Linked DNA regions of Sus scrofa. The protein of the gene in region 1 purifies or fractionates together with the protein of each later gene. This does not show direct contact. Links are inferred from orthologs where the notes say so. Each region holds a gene or a part of one and is shown in the gene's direction. Other genes may lie near its edges. The genes, in order: AP1B1, AP1M2, EPS15, AP1S1 and AP1G2.

Region 1 (3,515 bases):
CAGTTTGCAGCCTCTGGTTTGCATCTGTTACCACAGCAGATCGCATACAGAATGACAGCCCCTCCTTTACTCATGCATCTCCCCAGCCTGGAACGTCCCTTCCCCTTTTGCGTTTACCCAGCTGTCTCCTTCATCACTCTGGCCCACTGCCCTGAACACATAGCATTTGCTGTGTTCCTATTGCTTGGCCCTAATTCTAGAGTGCCCTCTTCTTATGTGCGCTTGAGCCTCCCTGCCCACCACATTGTCAAGTCCTCAAGGACAAGGGCTAGATTTTACAGCAGCTCAACACATAGTGTTTGAGAGTCAGCAGAACACTTTTAGATATATTTTCCTGGAAGTTCCATACAATTTCCATACTGTAGGTAAGGATGATCTTTGGCCAAAGAAGCCAGAAACAGTGACTGTCCAAATGGTCACTTGGTTAATGGCAGAACCATTACTCACGCTCAACCCATCTGAAATCCAGACCTGGGTGCTTTCTTCCTTCCCTGTCCTTGGTGTCCTTGTGGTGCCAAGCTCCATGCCTTGTAGGCCTGGACACTGGCCTGGAGCAGCTCCCCATCTGGGTCCCTCAGCAGGATCCCTCTGCTCATACTTGTAGTGCCCAATCCCATTGCCACACTCAGCAAGGGACCTCCTGACAGCACCACAGGAGAAGCAGCTCTACAGAGAAGCCTGCTGAGGACAGATCAGCAAAGGGATCGGGTGTCTGCTGGAAAACTGGTGCAGCCAAAAAAGGGGGAAAAAAATCACCCTTTGGAATTCATTTTCTACCAGTAGATATTCATGGTAAAAGCTGTTGCCCTGCCTTTTACTAGGAAGACCTGTTATCTTTTCCTTCCCTCCTTCCCACTCACCCCCCTCCGCACCCTCCATTAACTGCCTGAAAAATCTTCTTTTCTCTTCTTTGGCCTTCCTTGCACTGACACCGCTTTGACCTTCCAGTGCCCTCTTCCCCGATGTGGTGAACTGTATGCAGACGGACAACCTGGAGCTGAAGAAGCTAGTGTACCTGTACTTGATGAACTATGCCAAGAGTCAGCCAGACATGGCCATTATGGCCGTCAACACCTTTGTGAAGGTGAGCAGGAGCTTGTGGGAGGAGGGGTGTAGCTGCTTACTGCTCCCCCCGGTCTCTTAGGGTGGGGCACTATGGCTCTGGGCCTGGGCCCTCTGGCTCCCATCCTGGGGACTCTTCCTCCAGCAGAGGGCCCCAGCTCTCTTCAGAATAGCAGATGCCACAGACCCTGCTACTTCACTCCATGTGAGGTCACCCCAGGCCTGTTGTTCCCCCTGTTCCCTGGGGTGAGCCACTGCCCTGCGTCATTTGCCAGCACAGGATGCAGCACGCATCTGAGAGCTGTGCTCCCCTTCTAGACTTTGCTCCTTTCTGCATTTTCTGTCCTCCAGATTGGGGAGAAGCAGGGACTTGCAGTGTCAGCTCTGCACTTTATAACCTTAGCTCCCTAATTCCCATTGATGCCCAGATAGGTGAGTCCTAGGGCCTAATTGAAATATTAGATGCAGGATGGGTCATGGCTCTGCTGTGTGACTGGGTGAGCTCCCGACCTTGCTGAGAGCCTCAGCTCCCTCACCTGTAAAATAGGAACTGTATTCTGTGTCTGCTATGAGGATCAAGGAGGATAGTGCAAAGCCTAGCATCTGGCAGGTGTTAGATGCCCATATATGGCCCTTGCTTTTGATGTTGTTGGCCACAATTGGTGGGAGATCCCATGGTAGCTGTATGATGTTGCTCACCTCGGCCAATGGCTGATTCCCCTTAGGACTGTGAGGACCCCAACCCTCTGATCCGGGCTCTGGCTGTGCGGACCATGGGGTGCATCCGTGTCGACAAGATCACAGAGTATCTGTGTGAGCCACTCCGGAAGTGCCTAAAGGATGAGGACCCCTATGTGCGTAAGACAGCAGCTGTGTGCGTGGCCAAGCTTCACGACATCAACGCCCAGCTGGTAGAGGACCAGGGCTTCCTAGACACTCTTAAAGACCTCATCTCTGATTCTAACCCCATGGTAAGTCACTGCCACCCACAGTGTCACCTCTACCTCCTCCAGGGTTCCTTGGAAGGCCTTGGCTTGACCCTCCACCAGGCAGCTTCAGTTCCTGGAAAGAGCCCTGCGGGGTGGGCCAGCTGTTCTCCTGCCTGCAGTGGTTTGGGCACCATCTTTGGAGTGAGCTAGACCTAGATGCTCTTGTCTGCACGGCTCTCTCTAACAAGCTTTGCGACCTTGAGCAAGCTGCCTAACCTTCCAGAGCCCTCTTTTCTTCATCAGTAAGATGAATCTATTTCTGCATGGTTACCAGGAGTGTATGAGGCTTTATCTATGAAGGTATCGTGCCTAGCATAGCCTGGCACACAGTGGATATGCATCTACGACTAGTGCCCTCCTTCCCCTTCTAGTCACTGTTGTTGGTTTTTTTGGGGTTTGTTTTGTTTTGTTTTGTTTGTTTGTTTTTTTGGTCTTTTTGTCATTTCTTGGGCCACTCCCGTGGCATATAGTTTCCCAGGCTAGGGTCTAATCGGAACTGTAGCCGCTGGCCCACGCCAGAGCCACAGCAACGCAGGATCCGAGCCACGTCTGCAACGTACACCACAGCTCACTGCAATGCTGGATCCTTAACCCACTGAGTGAGGCCAGGGATCAAATCCACACCCTCATGGTTCCTAGTCAGATTCATTAACCACAACCACATGGTTCCCTGAGCCATGACGGAAACTCCTAGTCACTGTTGTTATCACCGTCCTCTCACCAAGACCATCAATGAGCTGTGAATGGGAGGTGCTTCTCCCTTTCCCCACTCTTTGCAGAGTTAGAGATGGTTACCCTTGAAGTAGTGTAACCGGAGAAAAGGCACCAGGATGCGTTGGGAGGGGACCTGGTCTCCTCGGTTTGGTGGGCAATTCAGTAGGGCCATATTTAAAATGAAATGTGGGAGTTCCCGTCAGTGCCTTAGTGGTTAACAAAGCCGACCAGGATCCATGAGGATGCGGGTTCGATCCCTGACCTCACTCGGTGGGTTAAGGATCTAGCATTTCTGTGAGCTGTGGTATTGGTCGCAGACTCAGCTTGGATCTGGCGTTTCTATGGTTGTGGCGTATGCCAGCAGCTACAGCTTTGATTCGACCCCTAGCCTGGGAACCTCCATATGCAGCGGCTGTGGCCCTAAAAAGACAAAAAGATTAAAAAATTTTTTTAAATAAAATGAAATGTGGAGTTCCCTTTGTGGAGTAGAGGAAACTAATCTGATTAGTATCCATGAGGATATGGGTTTGATCCTGGCCTCATTCAGTGGCTTAAGGACCTGGCATTGCCATGAGCTACAGCATAGGTCACAGATGGGTCTCAGATCCGAAGTTGCTGTGGCATAGGCCCCAGATACAGCTCTGATTCGACCCTTAGCCTGGGAACTTTCATATGCTGCAGGTGCAGCTATAAAAAGATTAAAAAAAAGGCAATGTACAACCTGCCTGGCCCAGCTGTCCCATTCTGTGT
Region 2 (3,960 bases), on another chromosome or scaffold:
AAGAAGTTCTGTTTTGGCTTAGTGGTTAATGAACCCGACTAGCATCCATGAGGACGTGGGTTCGATCCCTGGTGTCACTCAGTGGGTTAAAGCTCTGGCATTGCCGTGAGCTGTGGTGTAGGTTGCAGATGCGGCTCGGATCCCAAGTTTCTATTGCTGTGACGTAGGCTGGTGGCTGCAGCTCCAATTTGACCCCTAGCCTGGGAAACACCATGTGCTATGGGTGCAGCCCTAAAAGGACAAAACAAACAAACAAAACTGTATAAAAAATTAGAAAAATTACAAAAATAATTTTTTGGGTTGCACACAGAAGTTCTAGGCCAGGGATAGAATCTACACCGCAGGAGTGACAATGCTGGGTCCTCTAGCCACTAGGGCACTAGGGAACTCCCTAAATTTTTTTTAATAAAAGAGTAACATTAGGAATAGTAGTAAAAGCAGCTACATTTGTCCTGTGCAGCATGCAAACCACAGTTTCTGGGAGTTCCCATTGTGGCACAGCAGAAACAAATACGACTAAGAACCATGAGGTTTCGGGTTCGATCCCTGGCCTTGCTCAGTGGGTTAAGGATCCTGCATTGCCGTGAGCTGTGGTATAGGTCGCAGATGCGGCTCAGATCTTATGTTGCTGCGGTTCTGGCGTAGGCCCGGCAGCTGTAGCTCCGATTAGACCCCTAGCTTGGGAAACTCCATATGCCTGTGGCTGCGGCTCTAAAAAAAAAAAAAAAAGCCGCAGTTCCGGGCATGGAGTGGAAGAATTTATCAGCGAGTGAATGAAGACATTAATTAGTAAATATGTAGGGTATTAATTAATTAGGCACACATTGAGCACCCAGCCAGCACTAGTCACTGAGGCCCCAGGCATGAAAAACACAAGTCCCTGCTCTATGGGATGAATACCCGCGTGGTAGTGACAAGAGAAACGAATGAGTGGCTGGGTGGTGGTTGGTTGGATGGTTAGATGGATGAATGGATGGATGAATAGTTTGTTGGCTGGATGGATAGATGGTTGGTCTGAGATCTCCGCCCAGCCCATCGACACTCCAGGATGCAAAGGGAAAGTGAGGCGGGGCAGCTGTCCCAGCCGAAGCTCCGCCCTCGCAGCGTCTTCTCGTCGGCCGACAGCGCCGCTCACCTGGAGACCTCCCCTTTAAGACGCGCTCACCTGGGTCCTCACCTGCGCGCGGGCGCTTCCGCAGGAAGAAGGAAGCGGCGCCACTGTCGCCTCCTGGAGTTCCCTTCCCACCTCCCTAGTCCGCCGGCCGCCACCATGTCCGCCTCCGCTGTCTTCATCCTCGACGTTAAGGGCAAGGTGAGGCTGGGGGCGGGGAGGAGGGGACGGACAGGTGAGGCTCCGCTCTCCCCGACCCAGGGGCGGGCCTCCGGGTCTCGAGGCCCCAGAAAGCTCTGGTGTGTAGGAACACCCCTCCCCCAAGGCCTGGGTGTCCCGCGCTAATCCCACCTTCGCTGTTTACCAGTCGCGTGTCTGAGGCAAGGGGCCTCGCCTCTCTGAGCCTCAGTCTCACTGTCCATGCAAATGGGAATGAATAAGACAGTCCCCACCCAAGAAGAAAGAACACAACCCCATGTCTGTATATTAGTTAGCACAGTTCCCCTGCTGCAAACATTTGGCATTTAATCTGTTGAAATTATTTCTATCATCATCCTCCATATTATTATTTGGGGAGAACAGCACAGGCAGAAGACCCTAATTATCCTTTGAGGCTGCCTTGTCCCTTCTTGGAATCCCCTCCCATTTGTCATGTCATTCAATAGCAATAATAATAGTGGTGGTGAGAGTAATATTCCTGATAATAATATTGAAAGCTAAGGTGTGTGAGGACCTGCTTAGTGCCCGCTGGGTTCTAAAACACTGGACTACATAACCTCCCCAAGTAGGTACTACTATTATTGACTGCTACTGCCTGCCAGACAGAGCATATGAACTAGAAGATGTATATGGGTATAATCATTTTTCTTTTTTTGTTTTTTCTTTATTTTTTTGGCCACGCCCATGGCATGCGGAAATTCCTGGGCCAAGGAATCGAACTCAAGCTACAGCTACAACTGGAGCCACAGCAGTGACAACGGTGGACCCCTAACCTGCTGAGACACTAGGGAACTCTTCTTTCCTTCCTTTCTTCCTTCTTTTCTTTCTCTCTCTCTCTTTCTTTTTTTCTCTCTTCTTTCTTTCCTTTTTTTTCCCTTTATATGGTGTTCCCCTGGGCTAGGGATCAAATCCCAGCAGCAGTTGTGACCTGTGCTGCAGCTTTGGCAACACCAGATCCTTCACCCACCGTGCCAGGCTGGAGATCAAACCTGCATCCCAGGCTGGAGATCAAACCTGCACAGAAACACTCCCAATCCCATTGTGCCATGGTGGGAACTCCTCTCTTTCTTTCCTTTCATCATCTCTACCTTACCTATTTGGTGATAGAAGCCGTGCTTGAGAGCAGGAATTCTAGAGCCAGGATTCAATTCTTGGCTTCCCCACTTACTGTGGAGATGATTCATACCTCAGTTTCCCCATCTGTAAAATGGAAATGATGAGATCACCAACCTCACGCTTGTGGTGACAATGAAATAAATCATCAAACAGGAGTTCCCGTCATGGCTCAGTGGTTCACGAATCTGGCTAGGAACCATGAGGTTGTGGGTTTGATCCCTGGCCTTGCTCAGTGGGTTAAAGATCCAGCATTGCCTTGAGCTTTGATGTAGGTCACAGATACGGCTCGGATCCTGCATTGCTGGCAGCTACAGCTCCAATTGGACCCCTATCCTGGGAACCTCCATATGCCATGGGTGGGGCCCTAGAAAAGACATAAACAAACAAATAAATAAATAAATCCACAAATATCCTGGCATTTTGCAGAAGAGGAAACTGAGGTGCAGAGAGGCAGAGCCTTGCCCACACCCCTTAGCCAGCAAGTGGGCTCAGAGCCTCGTGCTCTGATGCCTCTGGCAGGAATGTCCCTGGATCCCAGAGGTGACCAGCCCTTCTCTGTCCACTCTCAGCCCTTGATCAGCCGCAACTACAAGGGCGACGTGGCCATGAGCGAGATCGAGCACTTCATGCCTTTGCTTATGCAGCGGGAGGAGGAGGGTGCCCTGGCCCCACTGCTGAGCCATGGCCGGGTCCACTTCTTGTGGATCAAATACAGCAACCTCTACTGTATCCAGCCACAGGTGGGTCCCTGGGGGCTTGGGGTGGTGGCAGCTCAGGCCCAGAAAAGGTGGGTCAGCACAGGAGACACACAGCCCATCGTGGCTCAAGCTGGAGGGTGAGGGTGGTTGGGGCAGGGGTGGGGGCTGGGGGTGTGTGTTTCAGGGTCTGTACTCCATTGGAACCCTCCAAAATGGCACCTTTTCCTTAACCTTGCTGCCTGCAGTGGTGGCCACCACCCTGAAGAATGCCAACGCCTCTCTTGTGTACTCCTTCCTGTACAAGACAGTGGAGGTAGGTTCTGGCCTTCCATTGGCTGCCTGGTCTGTCTGTCCACCTGTTTTGTCTGCCTGTTTCAGGATCCATCTCTCCTAGGAAGCTTTCCCTGACCTCCCTGGGGGTGCCCCCATCAACGCCCCATCACTCTGTATTCTCATTAGCTGCTATGGTATCATCTCTCCCTATAGGGCAGGGACCAGGGAGGTTCCTCAGAGGGTATCCTGCTCAAATATGAACCAAGGGGGGAGTTCCCATTATGGCTCAGTGGTAATGAGCCTGACTAGTATCCATGAGGTTGCAGGTTCGATCCCTGGCTTCGCTCAGTGGGTTAAGGTGTAGGTTGCAGACGCATCTCAAATCTGGCATTGCTGTGGCTGTGGCATAAGCCGGCAACTACTGCTCCAATTTGACCTCTATCCTGGGGACTTCCATATGCCTCAGGTATGGCCTTAGAAAAAGGAAAAATAATAATCTGAACTAAAGGGAACTGGGTTCCAAACCCACTCACCAACTTCCTG
Region 3 (3,041 bases), on another chromosome or scaffold:
TCCTTTTGTGAAGCCTCTTTTTCCTTCTTTTCTTTGTATTTGTACCACTCATGAAGCTGTTCATTTGTTTGTTCATTTGACTTAAATGGCAGTACCCCTCTGAAGAAGATATGATTGAATGGGCCAAGAGAGAAAGCGAGAGAGAGGAAGAGCAGAGGCTTGCCCGACTTAATCAGCAAGAGCAGGAAGACTTGGAACTGGCTATTGCACTCAGCAAATCTGAGATCTCAGAAGCATGAAGAATTCTCCTGTCCTTTGGTCAGCCACACAGTACCCTCCCTCCCGAATACTGAAGCTATTTACAGTGTGTACCAAAACTCCCTACAAGCATGGGAAAACAAAAGGTTTGAGATTCCTGTAAATGTGACAAAAAGTTTTGTTTTGTTTTTTAACTCCATTTCAGATTTGTCTCCCCCCGCGCCCTACCCCGACCCCCGTAAAAGCAGTAACTCAGACAACTTCACCTAGGCCCCTGTTCTGGTGTGCATTTAGTGTGAGCTTTTGCCTGCCTGTGCTCCTTTTACTTGTAAAGCTAGAGCACCCAAGCTTCTGCCTTCTGGAATATAGAGAAGTAGTTTCACCCCTGTGCTACCCTTGTTCTGTAGTTACTCTAATGATAGCTAGTGGGGTTCTTAAAGTTGGCAGTATTCTCCCTGGATTTAAATAGTTGAGAGAGGGGAAGGGAAAGAACATCCTGTTTCTTTTACAGTAAAACAAATTGGGTAGTTTAAAAGTACATATTTGTATTTCCTTATAATCAGAGTACTGTTCAGTTTGGTTTTTATAGACAAGAAAAAATATTTTGCATAAATTGACTCCCCTATTGAAAAAGGGATGCTTTAGATTGACCCATTATAGCTTCAGACTCCATCTTTTCCTAAATAAAAAATGTTAAAGCCTCATGTGTGAAATATATTTAAAAAATTTTTTCTCTGAATTTAAAGAATTTTAGATAAACAGATACCTCTTCATAATTTTAAGTGCTAGAGAGTGGAGAAAAATTATCACCTAAATTATACCCATCAATATAATACAAGGTAAGCAAAAATCTTATGGCAGCCATTCTGCCATTCCTATGGCACTGTCCTCTTTAGTTCATGGTAGGTTTATTTTTATACTTTTGAAGAAGAAACCTTAGCAGGCTAGAACTGGAAGGTACTTTAACTTTTTGTATATATATATATATTTTGTTTTCTTTAATGAAGACGCAGTTACTTGAAATGTAAAAACATTCACTGAATACAAATGAAAAAAGTGACATTATTAAATCATATTATTTTTTTCCCATCTTTGTGGATTAGAATAGTTTATTATCTTCATGTTTTTCACCTATAAAATTGGCAGGCTAGCAAAAAATATGTTTTTTTTTTAATTGGGAGAGAAGAGACCTGACAGATTATCAAAGTTCTTTATGTCTTAGAAGTTGTCTCCTGTAAAACTGACCTAGCAGACAAGCTGAATTTAAAAGGGACTCTGAAGTAGGCTGTAAATTATAAAGTAATCTTAATTTTTTTAACATCAGTTACTAAAATAATGTATTGAAAACGAAGATAAAGGAAAATGCACCTAAAAACTAATTAAATGTCCCTGTGGTCACCAAGTAAAGGTGGTATTATTGATCTGTGTTAATCAGGGTGGCTGATTGTCTAGCCTATGAATAAATCCCCAAATATCCAGTTCATTTCATCTTGAAATGGTGCTTTTTTTCTCTCCACACAATTGGACTGCTGCATTTCAAAAAACTTAAACCACTTTCTTGCACTGCTAACTTTTTTCTACTTTTATAAATTGGAACATCTCGGCATGGAAGTCATACATGTGAAGCAAGGGCTGAATCATAATCACAAGGCTTTAATTTTGATGAACAAATTCAGTAATAAGGGTATACTGCAAAAAGTTGATTGAGAAGGTAGTGTTGGGACTTGTGATAGGTAGTGGTTTTTGGGTTTTTTTTCTTCCCCTTACATTTGAGGAGAAAAGGTAAGTTGACTTGAACAACCTTTTGCACTGGGAAAATGAACAGATGTTTGAAATGGTTTTAAAATCTTTTTTTTTTTTTTTTAATTAAAAAACACTCTGGAAAATACTAAATATCTGTAACTTAAAAACACCAACTTTTGATGTAATAAATATACCCTAATCTTATGTGTGTTTAACTGGATTACATAGATTCTTATCTTTTGTTAAAATGTGTATACTCAGTGGACCAATATAATATGAAAGTATGTATATATTATATAAAAATATATATATATATATATATCTAAATCTCCATGCTCACTTGTGTAGGATGAATGTCTTAGAGTTATTTGTGATTATATTTTACGTTGTTGACTGACTCCAGAGCCTGTGCTTGGAAAGGACAGATAAGTATTCGGAGAGCTAAGTGGCACTACTTACAAAGTTTTAACCATCTTCTACCTACTTGTTCAAGTTTGAGTTCTCTTTATAGAACTTTCTCCTCTGTTTCAAACTTCTAAATTGTAGCCTGTAATTATGAGAACAATAAACTTTCAGTAATAATAAACCATACTATCCGTCCGTCCTATCTGAAATGGAGTTTTGCATGGTTCTCTGTTATGTCCATGCTGTGTCCACGGAGGGGTAGGCATACAGTCAGCACAGATGAATATGTGTAAAGTGCTTGAGACAGTACCTGGTGTAGAATAAATACTCAATAAATGTTAACTCTTATTTTCAGTTATCACGTCCTGTTTTTGTGAGAGAGTGGTAGGAAATGTGTGTGCATAGAGACCGTGCCTGAATCATAGGTGGTTTGTATGTGTTTGTTGAGTAAGGATTTGTGACATGGACTCTAGGCGGGCACTGTGCTGTAGAAAATTCACGCAATCCTGGGACTGAATCCCTGGTCTGCCATTTCTGGAAAAGAGACTTGGACAGCGTTATATCTGGCTTCCCTGAGCCTCATTTTCCTCATCAGGATGGTTCTGAAGAATTTGAGTTGGACAGCTTTTTAGTATTACTTACTTTAATTAAACAAATTCAGCCATGTTATTATTAATAGTGAAGATGGCTATTGG
Region 4 (4,046 bases), on another chromosome or scaffold:
GGGTGGAAAAAGCAAATAGTCGTAATCCCTACCCAAATCAGGTGTTTACAGTGTGTCAGATATATACAGCCTGAAATCAGACTTGCAGGGTAGGTAATGCTATCTTCGTTTTTAAAATGAGGAAAGGAGGGTTAAATGATCCACTTGAGGAGTTCCCTGGTGGCCTAGAGGGTTAAGGATCTGGTGGCTTGGATCTCTGCTGTGGCGAGGGTTGGATTACCTGGCCTGGGCACATCTGCATGCTGTGAGAGCAGTACCCCCCCCCAAATGACCCACTTGAGACTATACATCAAATAAGAATCAGAGACCAGATTGCATCCCAGGTGAATTAGGCCCACCCTCTGGCAACTAAAGCATATTACCTCCATAACAAAGAGTAAAGGAAAAAGAATACAAAGTGGAGACAGGTAGGACCTTACCAACAACTGCTTCAAGTGCTGCTCATAAGTAATAGCACCATTAATTTCCAAGAATTATCTAGAAATATGCCATTTTTTCAGCAAGTTTGAGATTTTCTTACCTATTTATATGCAAACTCCTTTACACACACAAGCATACACACTCAAACATGCACATCCTCAGCCAAAAAGCTTGTATGACAATTCTCATCTTTACACTTGTGTCTGGGTTACAACTGACCCTTTCCTAGCTTTGATTTATGCTAACCTTTTAAAATTTTCTCGACTTCTTCCTCTTTTGCCTTAATTCATGCTCCCCCTCTTCCTTACATCAGTTTTCTATCAGCCCCTCCTTTTTCTTTTATTTCTGGTCTCTCTCATTACCTACAAATCTCTCTTACTTTGAGTGTTGCATCTAGCAGGTTCTCAGTAGATATCTATTTTGAGCTCCATACTTTTCTCAAGCTTGCCCCCCCCACCCTTTGTCTTCGCCTTTCTCATCATTCTTCCTTCCCCACAGACAGTTCCCACCTTGTTCCCTCTCAGTCGCCCACGCCCCTTCCATTAAACCACCCTACTTCCTCATGAACTCCAGCGGTCATCTCACCCATCTCTCACCCCTTTTCCCGCCTTTTCCCCCCAAGGTTCCAAAGCGCGAGGACCTCATTGTCCTCCTCCCCCGTCCTCCAACCAGCCCACAAGACAGCCTTGTTACCATGACGACAGAGCTAATCAAAGCTGAAGTCGAGGACCTGGTTGCCATGGCTTCCGCTTCTCCGCCCCCCAGCCCCGCCTGCGCGCCCTGCAGCGTTGGCGCCTGCGCAGTACGCATCGCATGGGTTCTCCGTGCCGGGGCGGACGGGGCGGGGCTTCAAGCGTGAGGGAGGGAAGGAGGCGAAGGGATCTGAAAGGGAGTGGAGCTGGCGCCTACGGTGGCTGAAGAGGGACGCGCAGGGCCGGAGGCTGCAGGATGGTAGGCTGTGCAAAGAGGGAGGGGAGGGGGAACCGAGGGGCGTGGGCTGCACCTGCGGGGGTCCTGGGGGGCCGCCCTCTGTGTGAGCCGTTTCCTTCCCTCCGGTCCTCAGAGGCCTTTACTTATCCGGACGGGTGGGCCAGCCGGCCTCGAAAGGAAGAGCAGCTGGAAATGGCTTAAGGGCAAAGGGGCGGGGAGGGGGCACATTTGTGGGGTGAGAGGGTGACTAGGGGGCGGCGGGACTGGCCCGGGCGAGCGGGAACGCGCGGGTCGCGAACCCAGTGGTCCCGAGCCCTGCCACAGGGAAGTCGCCTGAGGAAGAGCGGCACCGGGGCCTGTCGGAGGAGGAAGGCAGAGGGGGGTCTCGGGTCACCCAGACTGACTGTACCCGTGCAGCCCACAGAGAAGCGGCGGCCGCCGGCGGGGAGGGCCGTGTGTGTGGGAGGGGATAGTTTCCGGGTGTGACGAGGGGACGTCCTGCCGCGGTTTGCCGCCCTGCTCACCTAGAGGCTGGAGTGAGGTGGGAAAGCCAAGTGGTCTCGAGGTTTTGCTCTCGGGGACCCAGCTTTTGGCTCCTCGGCTCGCGTGCTCTGGCCTCTCCGCCCCCACCTCATCCTCTTTCCGGAACCCAGGCCTTCCGTCTTCCTGCTGCCCGGCCCACCCCCCATCTTAGCGGAGCACGGCTCCCTTCAGCCCCTCCGTGGCCCTCCCACCACGCTAGCAGTGCTACCCCTTCCCTGCCAGCAAAAAAAAAAAATCGGTTCTCTTGAATTCTGATCTTTAGCCTGCTAGTGTTGTTCCACATCCCCAGGATTCCGGCCCTGGGAATGTACACGGAGACAAGAGCTAGTGGGTGAGGGAGATGACTCCAGGTGTGACCCAGACCCCTGGAACTGGGAAGCTGCCGGCGGGGTTTGCGGGGTTTACGGGGTCGAGGGTTCTGCACTCTTCCCCACTCCACCCTCTTGCACTTGTTCCACAACATTCCCTAGGGGAGCCACTCTGAATGGCTGTGTCCAAACTGAGGAACTGGAAGGGAAATTGGTCACCTGGTATCTGGGGAGGTGTGGGCGTTGTAGCAGGTGGCACCCTGAAAGGAAGAAAAGAGGAATCTCAGAGGCCAAATGCCTGGGTGGCTGAGGAGAGAGGAGGGTGGAATCATGTGCTGACATGAAGGAGACCCTGGGGCATAGGCCTGGCACTGGCGGGCAGTGTGTTGGGGACATCAGCTAGGGTATCTGGCTGGGATGGGGTGTTGAACTGAGGTAGCTTCTCGAGGGATGAGATACCTGATTTCAGCTACAGGCTACTTGTCACTGTGCTAGCATTTTACCCACTTTTGGAAAACATGATTAGGAAACAGAAGATCAGGGAATAATAATAACACCTAAGGTGTTAACGTGCTCATTTCCTGCCGGGCACTGTGTCATTTATCAACTCTCTTCATCCCATTCAACAACTGTGTAAGGTAGGGACTTTTATTATTTTCACCTTACACACCAAGAAGCTGAAGCCCAGAGACATAAAGTAATTGCCCAAGGCAAAGTACTCAACTAGTGGAGCCAGGATTTGAACCCGAATAAGAGACTCAGAAGCTCTGACACCTGCTAGTGGAAGCACCTAGGCTTGACAGCAAGGGCTGACATGTTGGAGAAAGGAGCTGTGAGTAGAACCGTTAGTTGGGATGAGTTTGGGGCTGCGTAGTTATGGAGGAAACAAGCTCAGAGAACCAAATCTCTGACCTTCTGCTCTGACTCTCCCCCTCCACCCCCAGATGCGATTCATGCTGCTGTTCAGCCGGCAGGGAAAGCTGCGGCTGCAAAAATGGTACCTGGCCACATCAGACAAGGAGCGAAAGAAGATGGTTCGGGAGCTCATGCAGGTTGTTCTGGCTCGCAAGCCCAAGATGTGCAGCTTCCTCGAGTGGAGGGACCTCAAAGTCGTCTATAAGAGGTGACTTCCCACCTGCTCTCAGTCCCACCTGTTTCCTGCTTGATTGGGGTCTGGCTATGGGTTCACATGGCTGAGAAATAAGCAGTCCTTAGATCAGGGAGAGCTGAGAGCTAAGGACCTCTGGAGGCCAGTGGTGAACTCCAGCCACCTTGACTGAAATTCTGGTTCCCTTTTGGTTTTGTCCAACCTGACACCTATTTCATGCACCTCCCTCTGTCCTAAAGGTCCGGTCTTGTCTGTTGGGCACGTCCCTTGCAGCCTCCTAGATACTGTGCCACTTTCCCAACACACAGGCACAGGCACACACACCCTTTCCAGTTCCTTCTCAGAGCAGGTGGATTCGTTGGCTCAGGTTTTTGCTGAGTCAAACTGAACAGGTCAGAGGGCAAGAGGGGAAGAGCTTGCGTCTTTGCCTGCGTTTGTGAGAGGATCTGAGAGGCTGAGGGAATTGCTATGTGCATACCCTGGCCCCACCTCGCCAGTGTGCTATAGGGGCGCACACTGGGAATGAGGGAAAATGGGAGGTCTGGGTCCTGAAGCCAACCCAGCAGCCCTTCCAGCCATCCCTCATGTGCCCCTGTCCTCAGATACGCCAGCCTCTACTTCTGCTGTGCCATCGAGGGCCAAGACAATGAGCTCATCACACTGGAGCTGATCCATCGATACGTGGAGCTCCTGGACAAATACTTCGGCAGTGTAAGTCTCCCCACCCACCACAGTTT
Region 5 (3,445 bases), on another chromosome or scaffold:
CCTTCCCTTTTCCCCTCTCCTCTAAACTCCACCATCTCTGCACTACCTAAAGGGATGTCACAGGGTCTGGAAGTGAGGAGGGGACCCAGACGCTGGCCCAGCACGTTTCTTACCCCATGCAGCAACCGCTGGTGCAGGTGGCAGCCTGGTGCATTGGGGAATACGGGGACCTCCTGCTGGAGGGGAGCTGTGAGGAAGCTGAGCCCCTGCAGGTGGGTCCTGCACTGGGGGTAAACTGGAGGGATGGGTCAGGGGAGGCAGGGCTGAACCCAGGGTCACTCCCTGTGTCCCTCCAAAAGGTGGAGGAAGAGGAGGTGTTGGCATTGCTGGAAAGGGTGCTGCAGTCTCACATGTCCCTGCCAGCTACCCGAGGATATGCCCTGACAGCCCTCATGAAGCTCAGCACCCGGCTCCGTGGGGACAACAAGTGAGACTGGGGCCCAGCCGCTCTCCTAGAGCCTTTCTCCACGGTGCCCCCACCCCCAGTTTCTGGTTTCTCTCCAGGCCCTCACCCCCCCCACTTCCCCGCAATCCTTAGGTATTTTCTTTTGAGCCAAGTAGTGTGGGTCTCTCCCTGCTCCATGGAGCCTCTTCCTTCCCTGCCGCATCCTGGAGGTGAGGGGCAGGGGCAGAGCGCCATTCCCACTTGCACACCGCCACGCGGCCCAGCCGCATCCGCCAGGTGGTGTCCATCTACGGGAGCTGCATGGACGTGGAGCTGCAGCAGCGTGCGGTGGAATACAACACTCTCTTCCGGAAGTACGACCACATGAGGTGCGCACCACCCAGCCGCAGTGCGGGACCCACCCCCCTTGGCCATTGTCCCTTTCTGGGCACAAAGGTCTCATCCAGTCAGAGCCTCCCACCCACAGTTCATCGAAGCCAAGCAGGCTTCCCACCCTCCTTGTTCAGACAGCAGCAGCATGCCTTCTTAGGAAATCAGAGGGGCACTTCTGACCCACCCTAAGCCCAGGACTCTCCACGTTCTTACCCTCCTCCCACACCTCCTGTGTGAAAAGCCCAGGGCCTGCCCAGAGGGTTATACCTCCCTTCCATCCTCCCAGGGCTGCCATCCTGGAAAAGATGCCTCTTATGGAGCGAGGTGGCCCTCAGGTCGATGAGAAAGCAAAGGAAAGCGAAGAAGAAGAAGCGGCCCCTAACCCCACAGAGCCCCAGGTGAGGAGGTGAGGAGCTCCGGAGGAAGAGCATGATCCAGCTTCCTTACTCAGCCCTGACTCTCTGCCTTCTCCCCCTCTCCCAGGCCTCGAAGCTCCTGGATCTCTTGGATCTCCTGGATGGCCCTTCTGCAGATGCCCACCACCCTCCCCCTCTGGATCCCACCCCAGGAGGCACTTTAATAAATCTCCTGGACCTTCCTTGTGCTCCCCCACCCCCTGGTAAGCTCTGCAAAGGGGCAACTTCTTAAAGAAGAGGGGTGGAAAGACTGCTTCTCCTTTGAAGCCAAGGACTGAGGTTCAGGTATCTTCTTCCCTGCGGTGTGCCCCCATCACAACCCTGTCCTAGTGTCAGGGCCCATTGGATCATGCCAGTCCCCTCCTGGACACCCTCCTGTGTCTTCCCTTTGTTCCAGACTTCTTACCCTGGCCTCTGGGCCCTGCTTCCTCCTCACTCACCTCATAGGCTTTCCCACTGCCTGCTCCACTGGTCTCCTCGAAACCCCTCAGGCCCTTTCACCTCAAGCCCTTGGCATTCATGTTCTTTTCTCATGGAGTGCTCTTTCCTCAGCACATCAAATGACTGCCTCATTCTCACTCTTGGGCCTTGCCTGAAATGTCAGATGCTTTCCCCTACTGCTATTTAAGTTAGTTCCCCCCAGTTATCCTGACAGTTTATTTCCTTCGGAGCACCAGTGACCATCTGTGATTATCTCGTTTATTGTCCTCTCCCCCCACTAGGCTGTCCGCTCCAGCAGGGACCTCATATCCTTGTCCACTCTGTTGCTAGCCTCTCGAGCAGTGCCCTGCACCCACTGGGTGCTCATTTAATTTTTGTGGAACGAATGAACTATTATCTTCGGCTCATACACTGAGCTGCTTTTCTCTCCCTACCATAGCTCCCATCCCAAATCTCAGAGTGTTTGAGCGTGAGGGACTACAGCTGAATCTGTCTTTCGTTCGACCCCCTGGAACCCCTGCTTTGCTGTTAATCACTGTCACAGCCACCAATACCTCAGCGGGTGATGTCACCCACTTCATCTGCCAGGCCGCTGTGCCCAAGGTTTGTAGAAGACTAGGATTCAGATGTTGCCTGGGCACTCCAGGAGAAAAGGCCACTAAGTAGAGGAGGTGGGTCAGGAAGAGAGTGAGATGAGGAGGGAGTGATATGCCAGGACAGGCACTTGGGGATTTAGGGGAAGAGGGTTCAAACTACTGGGTGTGGAGGGGTTGCCTGAGCCCAGCCAGTTGCCTTACTGTGGGATCTGTCCAACCTTCTGTGTTCAGAGTTTCCAACTACAGCTACAGGCCCCTAGTGGGGACACAGTTCCAGCTCAGGGTGGCCTTCCGATGACGCAGCTCCTCAGAATCCTCAACCCTAACAAGGTGAGCTCCAGGAGCCCCTCAAGGCTAGGACCCAGGAAAGGGGGCTGTCATAGGTGCTAACCCTGGTCTCTGCTCTCTTATCTCTAGGCCCCCTTGCGGCTGAAGCTGCGCCTCACCTACAACCACTTTGGCCAGTCGGTGCAGGAAATCTTTGAGGTGAACAACTTGCCTGTGGAGACATGGCAGTAACTCTGCCTCCACTCACAGTATGAAGTCTTCCTAAGAACCCAAACCACAGGGGCCCCAGCTACCTGGAGGCACATCTGAGCGCTACCAGCAGGTGGCGCTCTGGTCCTGTGCTTGCCACTGCAGAACCTGTTGGGGGCTCCCCCTCAACCTCACAAATAATAAAGCCTGAGGAGGGAAAACCATATTTGAGGTAGAAAACATATGTGTTTAACACCCAGGGAGGAGTTTTCTTACATGGGAAGTAGGTATCTTGCCCTGAGCCTTTGGAACTGGTTGCAGCAAAGGAGGGTTTTCTTTCTACCCCTCTCCAGGGCTGGGGAGCAGATGTGCCCCTAAACTTCCACAGGAGGCACGCTGCCCTCTGGGCCAGAGCAGGACACAGTGGCAACAGCAAACCAGAATTTCTCGATTCCTAACAGGGATTCCTGCCTGTTTGCCCAACCTGCTGCTATTCCCCATACCCCAGGGCAGGGAAATCCCTGCTGCCTCCCCTCATCTCTAACTCAGCTGTAAGGCGGTTTAGGAGCCGCTGGCAGAATCAATGGCATCGACCAAGGGAGGGGGGTGGCAAGGGATTTTCCTGTGCTTAACTACTGATCACGGCTAAGTGGAAATCCTATAAACACGAGCGGAAATCAATGGAGGCTGCTTAGCGGCCAGGGGAGAGGGGCGGCCCGCAGATTGCATCTGACGGA

Evidence for each region.
Region 2: the proteins of AP1B1 (region 1) and AP1M2 purify together in Homo sapiens (affinity purification with mass spectrometry; 3 studies listed by BioGRID and IntAct, counting the BioPlex papers as one, with this or other methods). This does not show direct contact. The link is inferred for Sus scrofa from reciprocal best matches to the Homo sapiens genes AP1B1 and AP1M2.
Region 3: the proteins of AP1B1 (region 1) and EPS15 purify together in Homo sapiens (affinity purification with mass spectrometry; 3 studies listed by BioGRID and IntAct, with this or other methods). This does not show direct contact. The link is inferred for Sus scrofa from reciprocal best matches to the Homo sapiens genes AP1B1 and EPS15.
Region 4: the proteins of AP1B1 (region 1) and AP1S1 fractionate together in Homo sapiens (co-fractionation; 6 studies listed by BioGRID and IntAct, with this or other methods). This does not show direct contact. The link is inferred for Sus scrofa from reciprocal best matches to the Homo sapiens genes AP1B1 and AP1S1.
Region 5: the proteins of AP1B1 (region 1) and AP1G2 fractionate together in Homo sapiens (co-fractionation; 3 studies listed by BioGRID and IntAct, with this or other methods). This does not show direct contact. The link is inferred for Sus scrofa from reciprocal best matches to the Homo sapiens genes AP1B1 and AP1G2.

Annotation. Positions count from the first base shown.
Region 1 is NC_010456.5:46,492,657-46,496,171, reverse strand, and holds part of AP1B1 (AP-1 complex subunit beta-1), read left to right. Parts: intron 1-948; coding exon 949-1,084; intron 1,085-1,787; coding exon 1,788-2,033; intron 2,034-3,515. UniProt on the Homo sapiens protein: Subunit of clathrin-associated adaptor protein complex 1 that plays a role in protein sorting in the late-Golgi/trans-Golgi network (TGN) and/or endosomes.
Region 2 is NC_010444.4:69,351,102-69,355,061, reverse strand, and holds the start of AP1M2 (AP-1 complex subunit mu-2), read left to right. Parts: upstream 1-1,155; 5' UTR 1,156-1,270; coding exon 1,271-1,312; intron 1,313-3,015; coding exon 3,016-3,172; intron 3,173-3,389; coding exon 3,390-3,457; intron 3,458-3,960. UniProt on the Homo sapiens protein: Subunit of clathrin-associated adaptor protein complex 1 that plays a role in protein sorting in the trans-Golgi network (TGN) and endosomes.
Region 3 is NC_010448.4:160,789,817-160,792,857, forward strand, and holds the end of EPS15 (epidermal growth factor receptor substrate 15), read left to right. Parts: intron 1-92; coding exon 93-239; 3' UTR 240-2,527; downstream 2,528-3,041. UniProt on the Homo sapiens protein: Involved in cell growth regulation. May be involved in the regulation of mitogenic signals and control of cell proliferation. Involved in the internalization of ligand-inducible receptors of the receptor tyrosine kinase (RTK) type, in particular EGFR.
Region 4 is NC_010445.4:8,879,761-8,883,806, forward strand, and holds the start of AP1S1 (AP-1 complex subunit sigma-1A), read left to right. Parts: upstream 1-1,232; 5' UTR 1,233-1,368; coding exon 1,369-1,371; intron 1,372-1,874; exon of another isoform or gene 1,875-2,004; intron 2,005-3,145; coding exon 3,146-3,324; intron 3,325-3,911; coding exon 3,912-4,020; intron 4,021-4,046. UniProt on the Homo sapiens protein: Subunit of clathrin-associated adaptor protein complex 1 that plays a role in protein sorting in the late-Golgi/trans-Golgi network (TGN) and/or endosomes.
Region 5 is NC_010449.5:75,546,559-75,550,003, forward strand, and holds the end of AP1G2 (AP-1 complex subunit gamma-like 2), read left to right. Parts: intron 1-122; coding exon 123-212; intron 213-299; coding exon 300-427; intron 428-669; coding exon 670-774; intron 775-1,064; coding exon 1,065-1,176; intron 1,177-1,261; coding exon 1,262-1,397; intron 1,398-1,871; exon of another isoform or gene 1,872-2,074; coding exon 2,075-2,238; exon of another isoform or gene 2,239-2,462; coding exon 2,463-2,561; exon of another isoform or gene 2,562-2,648; coding exon 2,649-2,750; 3' UTR 2,751-2,932; downstream 2,933-3,445.